Saccharomyces cerevisiae S288C: one gene and its partners. Changing the gene in region 2 together with the main gene of any one other region gives a genetic interaction. Each region holds a gene or a part of one and is shown on either strand. Other genes may lie near its edges. The genes, in order: VPS4, LRO1, INO4 and DGA1.

Region 1 (6,274 bases), on a different chromosome or scaffold from region 2:
AACGCCAAGGCCGGATTTGGAGGGAAGTGCCTCTCAAAAAGAAAAAAAATTTTTAATTTCTGAAGAAGATTATTTATTATTGCAGAAATTGAAAGCCTCTCAAACATATAATGATTCCAATGCTGACAAAAATTTGCCTTCCTTTGAAAAAGGTCCTCGTATGCCCAGTCGGGGTCGACCCAGACCGAGAGAGAAGGAAATAATCACCATCCAATATGATTTTGAATTACCAGGAAGAGCCGATATACCCTCCTCCTCCTCTTCTTCATCACCACCGCCTTTGCCCACAAGGCGTGATCATATCAAAATCACAGATGGGAATGAAGAGAAACCGCTTCTTCCAACAAGGCCTAACAAAGCAGAAGTTACAGAAAGTCCGTCATCAAGGTCAATAAAACCGGATGCTGTGGTACCTGAGCGCGTTAAGCCTGCTCCACCTGTCTCACGCTCTACAAAACCGGCGAGCTTTTTAAGTTCTTTGGAAGATAACAAATTGACAAAGGCGAAGAGTTATAATTCGGAAATGGAAACTCCCAAAACAACTGTAAAAAGTTCTCATATCGATTACTTGGATTCCATACAACTAAAACCAACCACCTTATCTCCTACAATGAAAAATAAACCTAAACCAACCCCTCCTTCTCCACCTGCGAAAAGAATTCCAAGATCTGAAAGTTTTATCAAGTCTATGCTAAACTCGAATCTCACGACAACTTCCAAGCCTTCTTTGCCTGAAAAACCTCAAAAGCTACGGAATGCAAATTTGGCCGCCCATAAGACCAAACCAAGCATACCGCCAAAGAAAGTGGAGTTGAATATAGTATTACCTGAGCTACGTCCCGTAGAAACTTCTCCAACAAAGCAGAACTTCGAAAACTCAATCGATTTGCCCAAGTTACGATCCAGCAACCGTAACATTAAAAAAGAAGAGGAGGACAGTATTCCAGAAGCAATAAAAGGTATACAAAATCTGAAGAAAACCAAACAGCAGAAGCCTGCAATCCCTCAGAAAAAATCATTTCTAACAAATAATTCGAAAAATACTACACTCAAAAATGGTGATGATATTAACAAGTTAAATGACGAAATTGAAGCTCTATCATTGCGGAATAACCTGAAGAAACGGCCACCAACGGCGCCACAACGTAAAATTTCTTTGCCAGAGGCATTGCGAAAAGTCGAATTGATGAAAAAATCTAAAACCGAGCCTGTTTTAGAGTCCTCAAACGAACTGAGCATAAACGCAAAATTAGACGCAATAATTGCCTCTAGAAACTTAAGAGCATCTAATACTCTACCAGAACTTAGCGGTGTTAACACTAATATTGCAACTTCTGACAAGTATACTACTTCTAGAGATGAAACAGTGAAGGAAACTAAACCATTAGTTCACCCGAATAAAAATAGGACTCGTGGTCCCAGAAGAAAACTTCCAACACGCGTGTAACTACAGAGTAGACCTCCGTATTTTACACATGTATGTACGTACATATGATGTAACAATAATATGATAATTTAATGGGATACATGTATTATCGTCACTTCCCACGTTTGCGCTTTGACATTTGCTCCCCTTATGAACCTGAAGGAATATAAATCATCGATCTTTTTGCTACACTTTTCCTCCCTTATTAGAAAATAGCAGTAAAATTACAGGCTATTCAAACCCTGAAACATCTCAATTATGGCTTGGACTAGTACATTACCAGCGCATCTACTGAACCTGATCAAAAACTCCAAATATGTTCACGTGGCCACCTGTTCTAAAGACTGCATCCCTTCAGTGGCATTGATGAACTATATCTATGTGCCAGGTGAAAAACTGTTCGGTCAAACAGATAATAAGAATGACTACATTATATTTGTTTCTCCTCAGGACACACAAAAGTTTTACAACATCAAGGAGAACCCTAAGGTCGCCCTGTTGTTTCACGATTGGATCATCGCGAATAATTTGTCAGTGGGCAAGGAAAGCATCTCTGGGACTCCGACGCCGACTTCTATTCCTCATGAAGAGCAACGTCAAAGCGAGCTTTTAAATTTGTTACAGGAGTTAAATCAAGCCGAATTGAACCAAATGAGCGCATCTATTGGTGGCGAAACCGAAATTGTCAATCCTGAAAGTGAAGAATCCAAGTACTATAAAGATTTAATACTAAAGGCTAATCCTGATGCGAAAGCTTTTATATTTGAAAAGAACACCGCCGTTGTTAAAGTTAGAATTGATAATGCTAGGGTATCCAATAATGAGAACAGAACAATGTTTCTAAGTAAAGGGAAGAGTTAACTGTCCTCTGCTTTTCTTTATCTATTTTGCATACGATTCTGTATTTAATTATTCTGTTTTTTTTTTTTTTTTATTTTTTATTTTCATGTACACAAGAAATCTACATTAGCACGTTAATCAATTGACTAGTTACCTTCTTGACCAAAATCTCTAGTGAACTGTTCTTGCTTCAGCAAGTCATCCTCATTCACGGTAGGTCTCGTCGATTTGATAGCCTTTAAGAAATCCTTTATGGTGAGATCTGGTTCTTTTAATTCATCAGCTTCAATATCCGTCCAACTCATCTCGATGGCGCCATCATCACCTGGAGAGCATGGTGTTAGTTTTCTTGTTTCGTCGTCCTCCGTAGAGACATCTTTGAAATGTGTCGCGCTTTGAATTTTTCTTATCGGTTGCATTAGCGCATCTTTCACCACTACAGCAATATCACTCCCGGAATAACCTTCAGTCATTGCACCTAAAGTTCTATAATCTTCCTTGGTCAATACGCATGGAGTGTCGCCGACGTTAATCTCGAACATGGTGGTTCTTGCCGCCAAATCTGGTAATGGTATATATATTCTTCTTTCAAATCTTCTCCTGATGGCACTGTCCAGTTGCCATGGGATATTTGTTGCGCCAAGGACCAAAACACCTTGGGAGTCATTCCCAACACCATTCATTTGTACCAATAATTCTGTTTTAATTCTTCTACTTGCTTCGCTCTCTCCTTCTCCTCTGGTACCTGTTAGCGCATCCACTTCATCTATAAAAATAATAGAAGGTTTATTTTCTCTTGCCATCGCAAATAACTGTTTGACAAGTTTTTCAGATTCACCCATCCACTTAGAAACCAAATCACTGGAACTAACACTGAAAAAGGTAGAATTGGCCTCGGTGGCCACTGCTTTTGCCAAATATGATTTACCTGTACCTGGTGGTCCGTACAATAAGATTCCCGAAGTGGGCTTACGGTTACCTTTGAACAAATGTGGGAACTTGACAGGTAAAATAACGGCTTCTTTAAGGGCCTCTTTGGCTCCTTCCAGTCCAGCCACGTCTTCCCACTTAACATTGGGCTTCTCAGACAAAATAGCACTCGATAAGGCACCTCTTAGCTTTTTGTTGTCTTCTCCACCATTATCCTCACCCTCTTCCTGAGAGATTTTCTTATTACCACCGTTGGAACCACTACCAGCGCTAGGAGATTTCTTTGCCGCGTTTGCCTCTTCACTTTCCAAGTGCTTTTTCAACTGCTCTGCACGGTTTAGATACTCTGTAAACTTCGCTCTTATCAAATCCTTCGACTTAGGGTTTTTCTCGTATTTCAAAGCCAACATCAAATAATCTAATCCGTTATAGTATGCTGTATACGCCTCCTCATACTGCGTGGCTGTGTCCAGGTCAATGGCCTTTTGAACCAGTTCTATTCCCTTAGTTAAAAAATCTCCCGTGCTCATTTGTACCCCATCTACTATAGGCACTCTATGCTGCTTTATTTTTGTCTTCCATGTCCTCAACCCACGATTAAATCGTTCGATATCATGAAGTTCTTATTTTTTTTTTTTTTTCACCCAGCGGGGGTACCCGTAAAGCAATACAATAAATATCATCAAGCAAGAATAAATAGATGTACAGAAAGAACAACCATGACGTGTTGTGTTTCTATTCAGCGTGCGGAACCGAATCCTCAGTCGGAGATTCTCTGAGAATGTTCGTTTGAGGAAGCTTAGGATACTTGGCGTAGAAGTTGGGGCCCTTTGGGGGCTGTAGGGAAGAAACTGGTCGTTGGCGCGACTGGAGTGGCGACATGTGAATCGGACTTGAAGTCACTAACGGGTTTACTGCTCTTACTGGCGAAGGTGGTAAATTTTCTGTCGGTTTGAGGTTGTCTCGCTCAATATTTTTCATGTCTCGACGAGACTCCAGGTATCTTTGATCGATGTTTGCGTCGTCCAACACCGACTGCAACAGATGACACTTTTCCTTGACAAATTGTAGTTCCTTTTGTGTAGAGTGCAGCTGCTGCCGCAATTGCGCAAACTTTGCTTGCCATTGTAGAGGCACACAATCCTGAGAATTTTTAGACAATGGGACAACGCTTTCTTCTTCCTCATCTGCGGGAGACCCCCATACAAACGCTTGGATCTTGGCAAGAGTCTTAGCAATATTGAATCCAAACGCGTGTTGTTGAGCCCTCTTTTTGGAGATATTCTTGTAGTTTTTAGAACGTGTCCTTTGTGAAGCGTGTCTAACATGATTTCTTTCGCGAGGCACAACCACCAATTTGCGCTCTTTTCGTATCCCCAATGTCTTTTCCTGAATTCCCATTGTGATCTTCAATGCCAACCCAACCTTCTTTTTACTTTGTTGGGTCTAAATTATGTTACTTTGTCCATTTCATCTCTTTTCAAGATGGAATCTAAAAGAAGAAAAACGACAAAAGGAACAAAAGTGATGTGACGCGTTATTTTTCGCGTGACATAATAGAAAAATATTTCAACTGGGCATCTTTAACACATGTTACAATAAAGTTGAGATGACTTGTTTATGCCTTTAAAGTTTGTAAGTGGAACTAGAAGCGTCTATGTGTGAAATGTTTGGCTCTGGGAATGTTCTGCCTGTTAAAATTCAGCCTCCGCTGCTTAGGCCACTGGCGTATAGAGTTTTATCAAGAAAATATGGTTTATCAATTAAATCTGATGGACTGTCTGCTCTTGCAGAATTCGTTGGCACTAATATAGGTGCTAACTGGAGACAAGGGCCTGCTACAATAAAATTTCTCGAGCAATTTGCTGCAGTATGGAAACAACAAGAAAGAGGCCTTTTCATCGACCAGAGCGGGGTTAAAGAAGTTATACAGGAGATGAAAGAACGTGAGAAAGTCGAATGGAGTCATGAACACCCTATTCAACATGAGGAGAATATCTTGGGACGGACAGATGACGATGAGAACAACAGTGACGATGAAATGCCGATCGCTGCTGATTCATCCTTACAAAATGTTTCATTATCTTCACCCATGCGACAGCCCACCGAAAGAGATGAATATAAACAGCCTTTCAAGCCAGAAAGCTCCAAGGCGTTGGACTGGAGGGACTACTTCAAAGTTATCAATGCTTCTCAGCAACAAAGATTCTCATACAATCCGCACAAAATGCAATTTATTTTCGTCCCCAATAAAAAGCAGAATGGGCTAGGAGGCATTGCGGGTTTTCTACCAGATATAGAGGACAAAGTTCAAATGTTCTTGACAAGATATTACCTCACGAACGACAGAGTCATGAGAAATGAAAACTTCCAAAACAGTGACATGTTTAATCCATTATCATCTATGGTGTCTTTACAAAATGAACTGTCCAATACTAACCGACAGCAGCAATCCAGCAGTATGAGTATCACCCCAATAAAAAACCTACTAGGTAGGGATGCTCAAAACTTTCTACTATTGGGGCTCTTAAATAAGAACTTTAAGGGCAATTGGTCACTGGAAGATCCGTCTGGATCTGTCGAAATTGACATTTCCCAAACTATCCCTACACAAGGCCATTACTACGTGCCAGGTTGCATGGTTCTTGTGGAAGGAATATACTATTCTGTAGGAAATAAATTCCATGTTACCTCCATGACTTTACCCCCTGGTGAGAGAAGAGAAATTACATTAGAAACGATAGGTAATCTCGATCTCTTAGGAATACATGGCATTTCTAATAACAATTTCATTGCTCGTTTGGATAAAGATTTGAAGATTAGATTACACCTTTTGGAGAAAGAATTAACAGATCATAAATTTGTAATTCTCGGCGCAAATTTGTTCCTAGATGATTTGAAAATTATGACTGCACTCAGCAAAATTTTGCAAAAATTAAATGATGACCCACCGACCCTATTAATTTGGCAAGGTTCTTTCACTTCAGTTCCCGTTTTCGCATCAATGAGTAGCCGGAATATAAGTAGTTCCACTCAATTTAAGAATAATTTCGATGCCTTGGCGACGCTTCTGTCAAG
Region 2 (7,487 bases):
AAGACTCTTCGTGTTTTCGTATACTTCAGGACTAACCATCAAACTCTTGATAGAGGGAAGACACACAGTCCCGACGTTGTTTTCTCCATGGTTTCTAGGCTCGCTAGCGTCTGCAATATTGGCAATTGCCAGTTTGTTGATCTTCGAGCTGGAAAACTCCCCCAGTGGTAGCCTCTGCTTCATAATGGACATGAACGGTTGTTTTTCCTCTATGCGTACGTCGCTGCTGCAATTGGCCCTCTCCGCAGCCTACTTAGAAAACAGTGTTTTAAGTTTGTGTATATATAATCTATAAAAGCAAATAACCAATTACACAAACCTGTCAAAAACCTTCTCCTCTATCTACTGTCGTTTGTTTTTTCGTTTGTTTTTTCGCCTTTTTTTGTTTTTGTTTTTGTTTTCTGTTTATTTTCTAGCCTAAAAAGGCGCGTCGACGCGACGCGCCTTCTTTTCGCTCTTTGAAATAATACACGGATGGATAGTGAGTCAATGTCGGTCATTTACATTGGGAAGGGCATCTGAGAAACCCACTGGCTCAAATTAGACAATTGGCGTGGCTCGACGAGATCGCCATTACCGCTTGCAATTTTCAAGATGTAATCGTTCAACTCCGCGCTGCCGAGGATGTCTACGTGTTCGGCGCTTTTTGCTCCACCACGTATATCAAATCGATCTGGCTGGTGTTTCATTTCCACAATAGTAACGTTAATTCCGGCAGGGTTGTACGGTGAAGCACCCTGGGCCCATTTGTGACACATTGAATGCGCCACGAGCGGAACGGTTCCGTCCCCCTCGGTGAGGAATACAGGTTGCTTGCTTTCGTAGTCGATGGTCAAATTCAGAGCAGAGGAGTCATCCTCTTCCTTATATACATATGCCCTTTCAGTTGGGTTGTTCACCCCGTATATACAATAGATTTTCATGTGGGGAGCTTCTGGAAGTGGTACTTCCATTGGATTCGACCAGTGCTTGTGGTGTAGCTCATTTTTTCTTAACTCTTCTTCATTCTTGGAATAGCCGAACGAGTACTGCTCATGTACTCTTCTTTGGAGCCATTCAGGTGATATCGATAATGTCATGTTAATGGCGTCTTTCATTGTCAAATTTTTGTTGAAAGCATCGCTCGTATTCCTTTCAAATCGAATGAAATTGCCGTATGTGTCAGTGTTGTTATTCAATGCATCCTCTGAAGATGACTTCATATCCCCCCAAATGACCTCTTCTCCCTTTGGTAGCATTGATGGTATACCACCCCACGTTTGTAACATTTTTACTCTCTCAATTCTTGAGAAGAACTTTTCCAAACCATACATGGCTAACGTATTTAATTGAATGGTATCTTTCATTTCACCACTAATTAGAGCTGGAACTGCCTTTGGAGCGCCCAGAAGCGTCCCTGCTGCATTAATGAATGAATCTATGTGTTCGTTAACCCAGCCACGACCACCATTACCGTAAAGAGGGCCTTCAGCCTCGACCCATTTCATAAAGTAAAAGATAATCTGAGAACCCATAGAATGTCCAATTAAACAAACTTTTTCACCACTCAATTGATGAAACAGTTCGATTTGTTCCTTTAGCTTCGTAAAGTACCTATCGCGTCTTTCTAGATCTAAATATGCAAGCCTCCAATCATACGCAGCACTCGTCATTTTATTGGGTTCATAGCCAATTACTCCCAGATTTTGGAAAACTTTGTTCCAAATCCAATACCCTGCGATGAAATAATCAGTTGATTCGAAGCCCTGTGCTGCACGTAGCGTAAAGTTCGGTGGGTCCAGACCTGTTTCAGGATCTAACATTACATGTTTCAACCAACAAACTTTATCCATAACCATTGTTCTCAGCATGTAAAAACTTCCCCACAGCCGTTTACGAAAATGCGCAGAACTATCGCACTCATCGTCTCCAATAACTCCCCAGCTTTCAATTCCCGTAGAAATGACACCAGGAACCATTACAACAGGATGTTTGGCCTCGATATTATAATCACGTAAGAGTTGTTTACCAACGGCAAAATTTTCACTGAGATCATCTAAAGAAGATGTGGAGTAGTTACCAGCCTGAATATCATCAATAAACGAACTTATACCTTGTGGGAGAACATCTTTCCAATCATCCAAATACACTTTAAGTGAATCAAAATTTACAAAGTTGTCAAACAAGTCGCTATCGCTATTATGAACATGATAAGCGCCAAAGCTAAACGGCAAAAGTACACCTAAGAATGCACCAAGAATGAAAATCAGTCTTCTGGAATCTCTCCAACGTTTTCTACCGTTCCCGTCTCTTTTCCTGTCGAAATCTTTGCCACGCTCATTTCTTTTTGCACTGCCACTAATACCCCTTCTTCTCTTATGGCCTAATCCCTGTTGATGATGAATGTGGTTTCTGCTCTCTCGCTTGTTATGAACAGAACCCCCTTTATTGTTTTCATCAGAATCACTCTTTTGGTTCTGGACATTTCTTCGAAACAGTGTGCCCATTTTTTACTCGATTGTCGCCGAATTCGTTGGTAGAGAACCTTTTGTAATGGCTGTTACTATACGCTTCTTCGTATCGGTATTTAGTAGATTTCTTATTTTTCAAATTTCACCTTCTTGGGCATTCAATTTTGTACACGGACATTATTATTATAAGGGAAGCAGAGCGAAGGGCTATTTAAAGGAAAGTAGATACTTGAATGATTACGTACACTTGACGTATATCAAGCTAGCTAGAAGTTAGGAACAAAGAAGTACAAAGGAGTAAATACAATTTTATTATCATGATTAGATCTACACTAAGTAGTTGGAGAGAATATCTTACCCCCATAACGCACAAATCTACCTTTTTAACCACAGGTCAAATAACTCCTGAGGAGTTTGTACAAGCAGGTGATTATTTATGTCATATGTTTCCCACCTGGAAGTGGAACGAAGAGTCGTCAGATATTAGTTACAGAGATTTTTTACCGAAGAATAAGCAGTTTCTGATAATTAGAAAAGTTCCCTGTGATAAACGTGCCGAGCAATGTGTCGAAGTTGAAGGGCCAGATGTAATCATGAAAGGTTTTGCAGAAGATGGAGATGAAGATGATGTTCTGGAATACATAGGATCTGAAACTGAACATGTGCAAAGTACGCCTGCGGGGGGGACCAAGGACTCATCTATCGATGATATTGATGAGCTAATACAAGACATGGAAATAAAAGAGGAGGATGAAAATGACGATACAGAAGAATTTAATGCTAAAGGTGGCCTAGCCAAAGATATGGCGCAAGAAAGGTATTACGACCTTTATATTGCGTACTCGACATCTTATAGGGTCCCTAAAATGTATATAGTGGGGTTTAATTCTAATGGTTCACCACTAAGCCCTGAGCAGATGTTCGAAGATATATCAGCAGATTATAGAACAAAGACAGCCACCATTGAAAAGCTACCTTTTTACAAGAATTCAGTGTTATCTGTTTCCATTCATCCATGTAAGCATGCTAATGTAATGAAAATATTGCTAGATAAGGTTCGTGTGGTTAGACAACGAAGAAGGAAAGAGCTGCAGGAAGAACAAGAGCTGGACGGTGTCGGAGACTGGGAGGATTTACAAGACGATATTGATGATTCGTTACGGGTAGACCAATACTTGATTGTTTTCTTAAAGTTTATTACTAGTGTTACACCGAGTATACAACATGACTATACCATGGAAGGTTGGTAAAAATTTGTGTTTTTTCACTATTAGCTGCAAGCCAGGTGGTCAAAAAACAGGATAAACAAGAAGATAGGAATTAACTATAAATATGCAGGAACAAGTTTCTTCCTTAAAACCACTTTCTTAAAATGGTCCTTCCTTTGTCTATATTGATACTTTTTTTTTTGACGGTTTCAATGTTAATACTGACATAAATTATGAATATTCACCTTAAAAACTAGTTTAATGACAGAAATATGTATAAGTTGCGTAACAAGCAATTATATATATATGTATGTATATATTTATAAGCGCTAGGTTTCTTTTTACAAATACATAGAAAAGGCTACAATATTAAAGCTCTATTAGCAGTTCCTCTTGAGGACTAGGCGGCCTTTCCTCTTTGATCGGAATTTCAGAGGAACTTGCAGGAAGTGGTACAGTTGACTCCGGTTGGACGAATTTGCGTGCAGGAACAGTTGGAAAATCGTAACGTGTAATGCCTTGAGGCCGTTTATTTATTGAAGTTTCACCATTCTCTGTTTCTACTGGATACGGCCTTTCGCGGGATTCTTGTGTGGAGGATTCCTCATCTTGCACTGCCTGTGTTCCTTCATCTTCGGCCTCTTCTTTTGGATAAGGTGGGTCCGAAGGTGCAAGTTCAACGTGCGATTGAGGCTTTTGCTGTGCGTGTGGTGTCACATCGATGGTTTTCAAGTGATCAATATTAGTGGTAGGTGATGAATTTGCTTTTACCGATTGTTGGCGTGAGACATCCTGTTGTGGTTTGTATTGATGAGATGATAGTTGCTGGAGGGGAGGTGTTTGATAGCTTTCTGCTGGATTTTGCACATTTTCTGTTAGGTAATTGTACGGATCAGAAGGGACTTGTGGAAGTGTGTATTGCTGAGACAAATTGATGCTTTGTAGCTGTTGCTCCAATAATCTATCGTATATGTTCATAATTTCCGAAATCTTGCCGTTCATTTCTATCAAAGTATTGTATTTCTGAGCTTTATCATTTAAAGCATAATTCAACCTTGCTTTGGAAGCAAATACTCTTTGAGCCAAGTTTTGTAATTTAGAGTCTTCCAAAATTTCGTTCAAGGGCCTCGATTTCATTTTTTCGACAAGTGAAGCAAACATGTATATGCTGTCTTTCTCCTCATCAGATAAATCAACGGAATGGATAGGTTGAGGTTGAGGTGATGGCTGTTGGGGTTGCATCTGTCTAGAGGCTTTTTGACGCTCACTGCGTAGCTTCGCTTCTTCAGCTTCTCTCAAGCTTTCCTGAATAGCAGCTTTTAAATCAGGATCTTCTTCTTCTTCTATTTCTTGTCTCTTCACCTCATTCTTTGATTCTACAACGGGGACAATAGGCTCGCTACTAGCGCTATTTCTAGATTCTTTCAAGGAGAGTTCTATTGCTTTCCTTATCAGCTCTTCTTCATCCTCAGGAGTTGAGTAGTCCCTGTCCTTCTTTCTTTTATGGCGATGTTTTTTAGATTTTTTACTGTCGTCATGTCTCTTCAAATCGTAATCTTCAAAGCAGCTATCACATACTCTGACTGGCTCATATATACCCAAATCAGGTAAGGGTATACTATTTGATGAGTGTTCTTGGCAGAAAACTCCACCACAGGAACGACAGTGATGTTTCCTATTTAGTAGAGAAAACTTTTTGGAGCAAATCATACAAGCATCAGAATCAATCCAATCTGCGGGCGTCTTCGAGTCAAACATTGCAGTCGGAGAATTGGAAAGTGTTAGCTTTTCAGGGAATTTAATGCCACGAGAGATTAATTTATCATAAACTTTTGCCACATAGTTAAGTTGCGAATCATTTTTGAAGGCTACGTATAGTTCATATAATATGGTCTTTACCAGCTCAGAAAGTTCTTCGTTGCTATCTTCTCTTAAAATGACATGTTCCATGGTATCCATGAACTCTCTGGAACAAATTTCCTTAATAAAAGGCGTTCCACCATTTTTTACACATATATTGGTAAGCTTCCAGGAAGACAATTGGGTATTTGGATTATCGGCCGTATTGAGAATCCTTTTCTTTATACAACGCATAGAATCTTTGGGATTTACCCTTCTAGATCTTAACACATCTGAAATTTCCAACGCTATGGGGAGATCAAGGTCACCGTTGGGAATGCTCTCACTAGTGGCTTGTTCTATTAATGCGTCTAACTCACTTGGCGTGCTAACGGACATACTGTTCTTAGTTCTTTACTCACTACTCATTCACCTTAGCAAAAAAAAATCTTGATAATTTTACACCCTCTATTTTTAAATTCCCTCTGCTAATGATGATTATTTCAGGTATCATCGAAATTTTCAGAAAAGGAGGCCGAGCAAGATGATTCTGCTGCTCCGCAAGAAATAGCAGTAGCGTATGTATTACCAAAATCCAAAATCTTGTGAAGGTTACTTTATATAAGTGAGGCTCAAAGGACACCAGGCGTCTATAAATGTATACAAAGTAGCTGTTTTGACATATTACCAAAAAATCGGGAAAATACCTAGGTTGGTTAATGATGAACTCGAAAGAGCCTTAAGAAAAGTTGATTCAACAACATATGGTGTATGGTCGCTCCGAACAGTTTGCTTTTGTCTAGTACATAGTTACTGGTGAACTTTCCTGGATATGCGCGTGCTAACTAGAGCATTTTATGTTGATAATTAATTTAAATTGCATGATACAGATTACGAGACGAAAGATAGTCGATTATATATCTTTCAATCTTGGTTTAGTTTGGCAGCAAAAGCTAAAAGGTAGGCTCCGTGCATATTAGATGAGTGAACACACTTTAGGTTTATTCTTGTATGAAATCATTCACTTCGACCTCTTCCAAGATCAAATTCTCTAATGGATTACTTATGAGTTTACCAAATTCGTCAAATTCCAACCTGACTACATTCAAATTCTTAACATATGAGACATCAATCTCATCCTTAATGATATTATCAGCAGGCGGAGGATCCTTCAACTTTTTATATTCCTTGCCCTTCAAAACATACCACAGGTTAAGGCATCTTCTTATAATTTCCGGATTGACTGTCTTCGCACCTTCTTCGTTCCATTTATGGAAATTAGAACGACAAATTTTTAGAGCTCTAGACTTTAAATGTGCATTTCTTGCTATATTCTGAAAATATGGCTCCAATACTGCGGAGTATTCCTTCGGAATTCGATTCAAGTCCGTTAATCCGTCTAGTAAACCTTCTAAGTTAGAGTAATTGTATAAATCTATCATCCGAGGAGATCCTCTTCTCTTTGCTTATGCATTTAGTCTCCTTTGATTTCTCAAGTTTATAATTTTTTTCTTTTTTTCTCACTTTTTAATACCTTTTAATAGCCGCTATTTTTTTAATTTTAGTTAAGTTTTCTTCTAATTTTGAATATAAAAAGTCATCTTATAACTAGTACATTTTATATGAAGGAGTTTCTATAGGTTTTAAAGGTGTGCAAAAAAAAAAAACAGCGTTAAAAGGCTACGAGTAAAACCAGATTCTTGGAAGACTTTGCTTACATGTGAGCAATTGAGAAGAAAAGGCAGGGGGCATTAAACGTTACGGCTACGGTTCGTCCGCACTACTCACTACATCGCCTACCGTAGCATACCTACGCTCACCCATTGCCATACCCACAGTAAATATGTAAATCGTTTATTAAAATGTTTAAGCCCTTGTTTGGTAGTATATTTAGAATCCAACTAGATGATATTGCAATTATTTAATCTTTTTGTTTTTAAGTAACATCGCGCACAGGCACTTTTTTTTTCCTTCAAATCTTTTATTGTAT
Region 3 (5,562 bases), on a different chromosome or scaffold from region 2:
ACGTGTTTGGCTGCTCCTCCGTCTCGCCTCTGTCAGAATATCTTAGTGCGGCAGAGCTCGCGGAGGTTGTGCACCGGGTAAACGGATTCTTGCTGCGTGAAGAAGGTGAGGTGTTCGGGTGGCGTAACTTAAGTGGCCTGTTGCTCGATATGCTTACGGGCGGTCTGTGGAGCTGGGTTTTGGGGCCCCTTCTTTCTAGACCTGTGTTTCAGGAGTCTCTCGCGTTAGAGCAGTACGTGGCGCAGCTAAACTCGCCGGGAGGTCTGCTTCACGAGCGCGGTGTGCGCCTAGTATTGCCCCGACGGTCCGGGTGCCTATCCCTAGATTTCGTCGTGCCCCGACCCAAATAGTTAAACGTGTGGTTTATGGGTGCACCAGGGCTTTATCGTGTTTTATATCGATGGCGATTTGTGCCTCCAGTGTATTTTTGTATATCCAATTAAGGTTTCTTACCTAATTTTATTTTTATCATCTTTAGTTAATGCTGGTTTGCTCTGTTTCTGCTGCTTTCTGTGCGGTTCTCCTCTTCTCTTGTTTCTTCGTGTTGTCCCCCATCGCCGATGGGCTTATATGGCGTATATATATAGAGCGAGTTTTTACGTCGAAGATCATCTCAGTTTGCTTGATAGCCTTTCTACTTTATTACTTTCGTTTTTAACCTCATTATACTTTAGTTTTCTTTGATCGGTTTTTTTCTCTGTATACTTAAAAGTTCAAATCAAAGAAACATACAAAACTACGTTTATATCAATTAATAATGTCTGAAATTCAAAACAAAGCTGAAACTGCCGCCCAAGATGTCCAACAAAAGTTGGAAGAAACCAAAGAATCTTTGCAAAACAAGGGCCAAGAAGTAAAGGAACAAGCTGAAGCTTCTATCGACAACCTAAAAAATGAAGCTACTCCAGAAGCTGAACAGGTGAAGAAGGAAGAACAAAACATTGCTGATGGTGTCGAACAAAAGAAGACCGAAGCTGCCAACAAAGTTGAAGAAACTAAGAAGCAAGCTTCCGCCGCCGTCAGTGAGAAGAAGGAAACCAAGAAGGAAGGCGGTTTCTTGAAGAAATTGAACCGTAAAATTGCTTCCATTTTCAACTAATCACACTTGAATGTGCTGCACTTTACTAGAAGTTTCTTTTTCTTTTTTTAAAAATAAAAAAAGAGGAGAAAAATGCTGTTTATTCTGACCTTTTACATAAATTTTTCTTAATTGTATCTATCTAATAACTAATCAATATAATAATAATAATACTAATAATAATAATAATAATAATAATAATAGTAGTAGTAGTAGTAGTAGTAATAATGATGATGATGATGATGATGGATGATCAAAAGCCACAAAAAAGAATGCTCCGAGAATAACCTCGGCGGTTATTTCACGTCCCGGAGGAAAAAAAGTTTGATAAGAAAGTAAAAATATGAGCGGTACGAGAATCGAACCCGTGTCCCCACCTTGGAAGGGTGGGATGATAACCACTACACTAACCGCCCGGGTTAATTGTTATTAGTTGGTGAAACTGATCTCAATCACTATAACATTATGGTCTCTTAATAGCAAAGGCCAACCAACTGACTTCTTGCAAACTGATGTTCAATTTTAGCTCTAAAATAAAACAATGTAAAAGAAAGATAAAATGACATAAAGCACTATCGCTTCAACGGCAAACAATATTGAAAAAGTATCACATTATAGTAAGTTGAACACTAAAAGATTAAATAAATACTTCGGCACACTTTCGATGAAGGAAAGCATTAGTAGTAACGTATATATATCATTGTTGTTGCTACTTTTCTTTGTGGGATATGCACCACTCCCCTCTGCAAAGTGAAGAAAAGGTATGGGAAGAATTTCTTCGCTTATATTACTTACTTTACCCTACTCCTTGAATCACTGACCACTCTGTCCATCACCCAGCTCCCAAATTAACTCCTTCGGTACTAAATCCCGAATGTTTCCATTTTGTTCTTGTACGGGATCGCTGCTGCTGCTGCTGCCGGTTTTTGCCTCATGCTTAGCTATGATTTGTTTTCTCAGCTTTTCATTCCTTTCATACAACCAACTTAAGTAACTCAAGCTTTTCAGGTATATGATTAGTTCTGACCGACTTTCCTGGGGTTGCAGGTCAGGTACTACTGCTACCAGTTCGTCAAATATAGCTCTTTCCAATTCTCTCCTTTTTTTTTCAGACGAAACATGATTTATACGTATTTGACCATCAGTCAATTTATTAATCTTCTTAGACCTGCGTTTCCTTTTCTTCACATTAGCCAGTTCACCCTTTATCTCCTTAATCTCGGACAATCCCGGCTGTATTGTTTGTATCTCCTTAATATCGTTCGTCATTATTGCTTTTCTCTTTTTAGTTCAAGCCGCCCTCTTAACTCCTTCGTCAAGCTTATCTTGTTGGCATTGGAATTTCGCAAACGCAATCGCGCCTCTGTCTTTAAGGTGAGAAAAACATGTGAATATTTTGTTTGATACGTAACAAGCTCATACAAACCAAGCCAAGAAAAAGAAGACGACTAATCTATTTATAACAAAGATATTTGTTCACTATAATGCAATATAGTTCGAGGTTCCTAGAATTGAATATCCCGGATTCATTTTTAAATATCAATAAGATTCCTGATGCTACTAAATTTATTACAGTCACTTATATATGCTTAACTGCAACCCTTTTCTGTATAAGGAGATCCTTGTACAACAAGCTAGTTCTTGAAGACCCTAACTTGGACTACAACTTGATTACTTCGCCGCTTTTGCAAATGGTACCTTCGCAGATTTGGAGGTACCCCACCTCATTAGTTCTATCCAACTTCATCGACACTAAAGCTTGGAAGGTGGTAGTGAACTTATTGAATTTGATCATTGGTGGATCCTTCATTGAACGCAATTGGAACTCTTCCAAAGAAATGTTCAAATTTATCATAGTTTTAGGTTCTCTTACAAACGTTCTGATCATCATGCTGACTTTGTTAGTATCTTTTTTCTCTAATAAGGTAAGGCTGGATATTCCCTTAGACGGGAACTACACAATTTTAATCGGTTTCCCTATCATTTATAGACAGTTATTGCCTGAAACAACTATAATCCATCTGAAGACACCTCAATTTTTGGCCAAAAACTTTAGGTTCAAATTACTACCCATTTTTGTAATGTTTACAATGACGGTAACCCAAATAATATGGTTTCATCATTTTGCTCAATTGTTCTCCATTTGGGTTACCTTTTTTGCCAGTTGGTCGTACTTGAGGTTTTTCCAGAAACTTGCACCCTTGAATTGTCCCTCTTTGCCAACAACTAATTCTCAAGGTGGTCAGGAAATATTGGTCGGCGATGCATCTGATACTTTTCAATTGATTTACTTCTTTCCTGATCTAATTAAGCCGATTTTGAGGCCGATTTTCAATTTCATTTATAATGTAGTTGTTGTAAAATTTAAAGTCATTAAACCTTTTCATGATATTGATATAGATATTGGGAACACCATCGCAGAAAGTAGAGGCGCCAAAAAAATTATGACTGTAGAAGAAAGACGAAGACAGTTAGCTTTACAAGTTTTGGAAGAGCGTATGGTAAACCCTTGATATATGGATCTATATAACTTGAAATATGCTCTATTATATCGTGATTTAATGACGGCTGTTGGCATTTCGGTCTTTACCAAGGTAGTAGGATTTGTATGCTGAATGTGCGCCAGTACTATCGAACCATAGAAACCCATATATTCCCCAATATTAATAATTCTACTGAGAAATGGGTGAATTTTGAAATAATTGTTGGGATTCCATCGTTGATAAAGGCTATAATATTAGGTATACAGAATGTACTAGAAGTTCTCCTCGATGATATAGGAATCCCCATAATGGAATCTATATTTCTATGTACCAATATTACGATTATTCCTCATTCCATTTCATATGTTTCATTATCCTATTACATTATCGATCCTTGCATTTCAGCTTCCTCTAACTTCGGTGACAGCTTCTATAATAACTTATGTCACTATCTAACACCGTATATGATAATATATTGATAGTATGACTACTAGTTGATAGACGATAGTTGGTTTTTATTCCAACATCTACATAGTGGCACTCACTACGCTGCTAAATTTGATCATTTGGTGAATAATTTGATAATTAGTAGTTCTTCTCCGGGATATAGGAATCAACAAAAGGAAAACGATAGTTTTACATAATAATATTAATTTATCTTGCTTGGTTCGCCTTTGAAGAGCGCAGCTTTCAGAGATTTAGCTTCTATGGCCAAGTTGGTAAGGCGCCACACTAGTAATGTGGAGATCATCGGTTCAAATCCGATTGGAAGCATTTTTTTTTAATATTTTAAAATTGTTTATATTTTTGTACCACAAACATCATTAGAAGCTGCAAATGAAGTGAATCAGAAAATTTAAAAATGAAACTAAATACTAAATATTATTGTTCTTTTTCTAACAGTTGAAGTGCCAAAAGCAGTAAATTGTTTAAATATTAGGGTATAAAACATGATATTATAAAGTTAATGATTTAGAATGGCTCCGTCCAGCAGAACCAGTTGATTACCATTAATGTTGAGAGTTTATGCGAGTTTTTCAGGCTCGATTATGAGATACGGTACTAGATAATTCAGGATTATCAGGATTATCAGGGTTTACCACTTGCAATGGTCCGCTCATCATCATGTCGGGTAAAGAATTGGCACTGAACCTTTCATTTGCACTATTCAAAGTATTTGCCTCTTCAAAAACTGTCGATGGAAGGTTCTGTTTCTGAACCGTAGCATCTTGTAAGCCAGCCAAGTTGTTTATGATGCTTCCACTGGTGTTTGAACTAGGACTACTATAATTTGCACCATTACTCATAGAAAAACCATACATATTACTTGTACCGATAGAACCCGCTGTATTACCCCTTGAATGTCTCATCCAATTTGTCGTACCAGAGGAGGGAGGCGGTCCTATTGGATTTGCATCCTCATCACCGAACGAATAGGGCTGATAATGTTTCGTTTCCTCCAAGTCTAATTGGTCGTGCGATTTCCGTCTCCTCCATATCAGGAACAATAGAATCAAAATAATAAAAATTACGCCAAACACAACACCAATAACAATACCGGCAATGGCTCCACCACTCAGACGCTGCTTCGAAGTCGAATTAGATCTATTATTTGAGGCGGCAGCAGTAGCAGTAGCTACCTCAGAAGATCGTTCAACCACGGATGTCCTCGTAACAAATATTGTTTCCTGATGTTGATCAGAAGTACTCACGATCGCTTTTGTAACCACACTAGTCACTAGTTCCACTGAGGTAACTATTGGTATCGTTGATGACGTACTAGGGGTCATTGAGGTCACTTTTGGAGTTGATAGTGTGCTGCTACTCGAGGACACTGGCACCAAGGTGGAAGAGGGTGAAGAAGTACGGCTATCGACTGTGGTATGCTCAGATGAGGACAATGTAATGGATGAGGAGCTAGACGTAACAGAAAAGATAGAGGTAGTAGAGGAGGTAGTAGAGGAGGTAGTAGAAGAGGTAGTAGAAGAGGTGGTAGAAGAG
Region 4 (4,708 bases), on a different chromosome or scaffold from region 2:
ATAGAGCCTATTGGTCGGACACTCTCATAACGCTATTAGTGGAACACCAGAAGGAAATTACTATAGACGAAATAAGCTCCATGACTTCGATGACCACTACAGATATATTACACACAGCAAAGACACTGAATATCCTGCGATATTACAAGGGTCAGCATATTATTTTCCTGAATGAAGATATTTTAGATAGGTACAATCGACTTAAAGCCAAAAAGAGAAGGACAATAGACCCTAATAGACTCATATGGAAACCACCGGTATTTACTGCCTCTCAGTTACGCTTTGCCTGGTAAGCTATGTAGTGCTTTCCTAAACTTACATTCAAACAACTTCTAATGTAAAAGCTTTAAATAAATGAAATTTACGTAAAACAATCACTAATATTCAACGAGAACTCCAGTATTCCTGTAAGTTAATACTCTTACTTAAGATATACAGCCCAAACACTAAAAAATCCTTATTTATTCTAACATATTTTGTGTTTTCCAATGAATTCATTATTACCCAACTATCTTCAATTCTGCATCCGGTACCCCATATTTTTCTCTATTTTCGTAATATAGTCTTTTCAACTCCGCAATATACAAATCATGGAAATGATTAACAACATCATCTGGCGGATTTGTTATTTTCTTTTCAACGTATATAGGCCTTCCAACAACAACATTGATAGGCGCTCTAAATGGCAACAAACCGAAATCGTAATTGAATAATCCTCTTGCGTAGAAAATGGGAATGGTAAAACCAAAGTTTTCTTTGAACCATAGTTGCATTTTACCCAGGACTGAATCTTTTTTTGTGCTCAGAACATTATAACAGTCCACCTCTCCAAATGCAAACACAGGCACTAGGTTAATATTCCCCGTTTGAATGGCCAGTTTAATAAAACCCTTTCTTTTGTTTAAAATCAGTTGTGTACCATTTGTTGAACTTAATAAAGATTCCCTAGCGCCACCAACAACAATGCAGATCGACTGATTTTTGCTTAGAGTCCTTAAAGCGTTTTTCCGAGATACTGAAGAAATACCTAACGCCAATAAGTAGTCTCTATACAATGGGATATGAAATTGTGTGACCAGTGTCATCAGAGAAATAGGAATACCTGGGAAAATCTTGGAATAGTTACAACCTTCTGTTGCAAACGCTCCAAACGCACCAAGTGCTCCTATGCCGTGTGGATGGTAACCAAATAAGTACGTTGGCCCTGTACATTCCTGGTTGCGATAGTCAATAGTAGAGTTGCTTTTGAGATTAATGGAATACTTAGTTGGCCACAATCTAATCTTGTAATTTTTTTCGTTAACTCTCTTATTTTTTGAAAGCGTAAAAGTTGGTTTTAAATTGACAGTTTTAATCAAACTTATAGGGAAATAATCACAATACCACTTCCAAATGGGCAATGAACGAAATCGAAGAGAGTATCGATTTACCACTTCGCCAGTTGCAGGAGACCTATCGAAAAAAAAATAAATCATATATGGAATAGCAAGAACCCACAGTGCTGGTGTCGAGATTGCAAATAACGTAAATATGGAGAAGAGTACAAATGAAGAAGTGTGCCATGCTACAGCCAGAGTTTGTAACCTTCTTTCAAAAGGGGTCGCCAATGGACAGCATGACTCTAGTTGTGGTTTGAGAGTCTGTTCTCTTTTATCGATGCTTGACAAAGACTTATTCTCATGCCTTTCGGTAATACCGGCTGTAGGGCTTCCTTCTTCCTTCTTCCTTCTTCTTATATCATTGAATGTTCCTGACATTTATGTGACTGTTCAAACTGTATGCCTCTGCGTTTCCTTATGTATATGTAAGTGTATGTGTAAATGGAAATGAGATGATAGTAAACCTCCTTAATGGAACAAACGTGATCTGGGATAAACAGGAAAAAAAAAAAACTTTGGCGGAAGTGTAGTGAAAGATCCAAGCCTGATAGACCACTGTCGTGCTTGGTTAAGTACAGAAATGCGGTGGAAGTACTGGTCTGCTTTGAGGAATAAGTTTCCAAATTCAGTCTTCTCTTTTTCTAGCCTTCCCATTACGTCAATGCTGACTGAATCTATCAATTGAATAAAAAACGCACATCATAAGCCTTTGTCGGCCCGTAACTTAGTTGCCTGCAGAGAACAAAGTACAGAAAAACTTCTTGCTCTGATTACCAGTTACAATAACGACTAACTAATATTTAAATAAAATGTACATCTATCTACTCTTTCAATCTTTCCGTCTTGTTATATATCGAAACCACGGTCTCTTAGTTGATGAACGGTCCAGATCCAAGTCGATGCCGCTTCGTCGACATTGTTAGAAACGTAGCTCGATTTAGATTCTTTACCCCCCGTGGTGAAGTACTTCCCGTTATCTTTTTCGACAGATAAATTCGGGTCCAATGCACACTTCAAAGAAGCTAGTGAACCTTGTTCGTTCGATACGCCGAAAAAGAACCCTACGACCTGGAACAACAGCCAAAAGAAAATACCGACGATGGGTAACCTTGTCCAATAACTGAATAAGTTTGTGTTCATCACCAGACCCGGATGAACGGAGAGACAAAGAACGTCAGGGTATTTGATGGCCAACATCTTCGTGCATTGGATTAGCGCGGTTTTACTCATCGCGTACCTAAACCATGTGAAAAGCATATTAGGTTTGTAATCCCACGTCTTGCTCAGTTTCCAGTACATGAACTCTAGATGATGGCCTATCGAGGACAGGGAAATGATCCTGCCACGACAATGGCGCAGTAAAGGCAATAATCTCATCGTGAAGATGAAGTGCGAAATGTAGTTAGTCTGCAATTGCACTTCAAATCCGTCCTTCGTCATTTCTAAGGGCACCGCCATAATCCCTGCATTGTTAACAAGCACGTCTATGTGGTCTTCCAGCTTGAGAATTTTAAGTGCCGCTCTCTCCACACATTTTAAGTCTGTCAAATCCAAATGGATATAGTGCAGTGACCCTAGACGCTGAATGCTTGGACCTGGGCCCGCGCCTGGGCTTGAACCGTCGTCATCTTCATGGCACCTCTTCTTTGCTTCTGCCAGTATCTCCTGGATTGCTTTCGAAATCTTGTGAGAGTTTCTCCCACAAATATAAACGACAAACCCATGCAAATACAAATGCAAGACAGTATACCACCCAATACCCGTATTTCCGCCTGTTACTACAGCAATCTTCCTCTCCACAGCCGGGTCGTAGTATGGCAATATTCGTGGGTCTAACATTCTGCCTTTGGCGTATGTCTCGTACTGCGGATGCCTCTAATACCAATCAGGCCTACAACCATTGTCTTCCCCGTTTCTACAAAGACAATAGTGTGTGTGCATTGTAAGTGATGCATCATGCACCATAATGATTTGTTTATATATACCCATGTACACTTGGGTCTCATTTCCTCAATTTTTTCATATCTTACCCGCATATCTTTTCTTTCAATGCCCTACTTCTATACTTCAGGGTTTTCCAAAAAAAAACAGTGATTAAGCAGGGCGGCATTTTCTTTATCTTGGGGCTTAGAAGACGCGAAAGACCTGTGGCTCAATACCTTTTTCGGAATATGTCAACAACACGAAACGCCAAAATTCTTGGCCCTGATTCAGGTACCGCGGGGGCCACGAATTTTGGCGTTCTGTGCAGGAATGACGTCTCTGCCGATTATGAAACTAAACAAGGTATGCTATCGGAGGTGGTCTGAGTTACTCGACAGATTTTTCTGACGAGAGTGAGTGTCGTTCGAGATATTTAAGCTCCAAAATATTTCCCTCACCTAGCTTACATTTTGGTTTATTCTTTCTTACCTCTACCTTTCTAAGTTTTTCTCTTCTGCTTCCTTTTCTTTTCACTTGGCATATTTTATCTATAAAAAAGTTTTGCAAGCGTTTAAGCAACTAGTTTAGCACAACATCCAACCAAGAGGTTTCTCGCGTATTTCTCTCATTTTTTTACCCATTTTACAAATTTTTTTTGCTATTTGAGCCATAGTACCCATTAATAGGTCTCGTCCATTCCCTTGTTTTTTTTTTATTGTTTCAATTACACTACATAATTAAAAATCACATCACTTTCACTCTCACCTTAGTCGTTCTTTATCAACCAAAAATAAAAAAATGCTTCAATCCGTTGTCTTTTTCGCTCTTTTAACCTTCGCAAGTTCTGTGTCAGCGATTTATTCAAACAATACTGTTTCTACAACTACCACTTTAGCGCCCAGCTACTCCTTGGTGCCCCAAGAGACTACCATATCGTACGCCGACGACACCACTACCTTTTTTGTCACCTCAACGGTCTACTCCACGAGCTGGTTCACCTCAACTTCAGCCACCATTACCAATGCGGCCTCCTCCTCCTTGTCCACCTCTTCGGCCTCTGGATCTGTAACCCCAGAATCCACCCATGAAATTACCTCCACCTCGACTATCACGTCCACTTTGCTGCTAACCCTTCATGACTCCACTACTTTGTCTCCATCATCTACTGCAGCAAGTGTCAGTGACGAAGATTCAAACAACAAAGATGCAAAGGTCAAGTCCTTTGAACAGGCTTCAACTTCCAATGGTTGCGTCCCAATCACAAAGTTTGTCACTGTCACCAATGAGCCCGTTACCCAGTACGTTACAGTCACCCCAAATACGACTACACAATACGTTACTGTCACCGGTGCACCTTCTGTTACCACTACCTCTCCAGGTAACGTACAATGGTACAACACCACTTC

The links.
Region 1: of LRO1 (region 2) and VPS4, changing one enhances a phenotype caused by changing the other (phenotypic enhancement), as found in Saccharomyces cerevisiae (2 studies listed by BioGRID, with this or other methods).
Region 3: mutations in LRO1 (region 2) and INO4 together harm fitness more than expected from each alone (negative genetic interaction), as found in Saccharomyces cerevisiae (2 studies listed by BioGRID).
Region 4: of LRO1 (region 2) and DGA1, changing one enhances a phenotype caused by changing the other (phenotypic enhancement), as found in Saccharomyces cerevisiae (13 studies listed by BioGRID, with this or other methods).

The regions. Positions count from the first base shown.
Region 1 is NC_001148.4:884,112-890,385, forward strand, and holds VPS4 (AAA family ATPase VPS4), read right to left. Parts: upstream 3,727-6,274; coding exon 2,413-3,726; downstream 1-2,412. Other genes in the region: BSP1 (Bsp1p), read left to right, coding at 1-1,447; YPR172W (pyridoxal 5'-phosphate synthase), read left to right, coding at 1,685-2,287; CSA1 (Csa1p), read right to left, coding at 3,932-4,597; DPB2 (DNA polymerase epsilon noncatalytic subunit), read left to right, coding at 4,863-6,274. UniProt on the Saccharomyces cerevisiae protein: Involved in the transport of biosynthetic membrane proteins from the prevacuolar/endosomal compartment to the vacuole. Required for multivesicular body (MVB) protein sorting.
Region 2 is NC_001146.8:635,395-642,881, reverse strand, and holds LRO1 (phospholipid:diacylglycerol acyltransferase), read right to left. Parts: upstream 2,487-7,487; coding exon 501-2,486; downstream 1-500. Other genes in the region: NRM1 (Nrm1p), read right to left, coding at 1-192; ATG3 (Atg3p), read left to right, coding at 2,768-3,700; ESCRT-0 subunit protein VPS27, read right to left, coding at 4,028-5,896; SWM2 (Swm2p), read right to left, coding at 6,499-6,939. UniProt on the Saccharomyces cerevisiae protein: Catalyzes triacylglycerol (TAG) formation by an acyl-CoA independent pathway. The enzyme specifically transfers acyl groups from the sn-2 position of a phospholipid to diacylglycerol (DAG), thus forming an sn-1-lysophospholipid.
Region 3 is NC_001147.6:109,540-115,101, forward strand, and holds INO4 (Ino4p), read right to left. Parts: upstream 2,348-5,562; coding exon 1,892-2,347; downstream 1-1,891. Other genes in the region: SHR5 (Shr5p), read left to right, coding at 1-350; ZEO1 (Zeo1p), read left to right, coding at 758-1,099; YOL107W (uncharacterized protein), read left to right, coding at 2,563-3,591; WSC3 (Wsc3p), read right to left, coding at 4,599-5,562. UniProt on the Saccharomyces cerevisiae protein: Transcriptional activator of phospholipid synthetic genes (such as INO1, CHO1/PSS, CHO2/PEM1, OPI3/PEM2, etc.).
Region 4 is NC_001147.6:793,576-798,283, forward strand, and holds DGA1 (diacylglycerol O-acyltransferase), read right to left. Parts: upstream 1,758-4,708; coding exon 501-1,757; downstream 1-500. Other genes in the region: NuA4 histone acetyltransferase complex catalytic subunit ESA1, read left to right, coding at 1-293; ENV9 (Env9p), read right to left, coding at 2,226-3,218; SRL1 (Srl1p), read left to right, coding at 4,101-4,708. UniProt on the Saccharomyces cerevisiae protein: Catalyzes the terminal and only committed step in triacylglycerol (TAG) synthesis by using diacylglycerol (DAG) and fatty acyl-CoA as substrates. Required for storage lipid synthesis.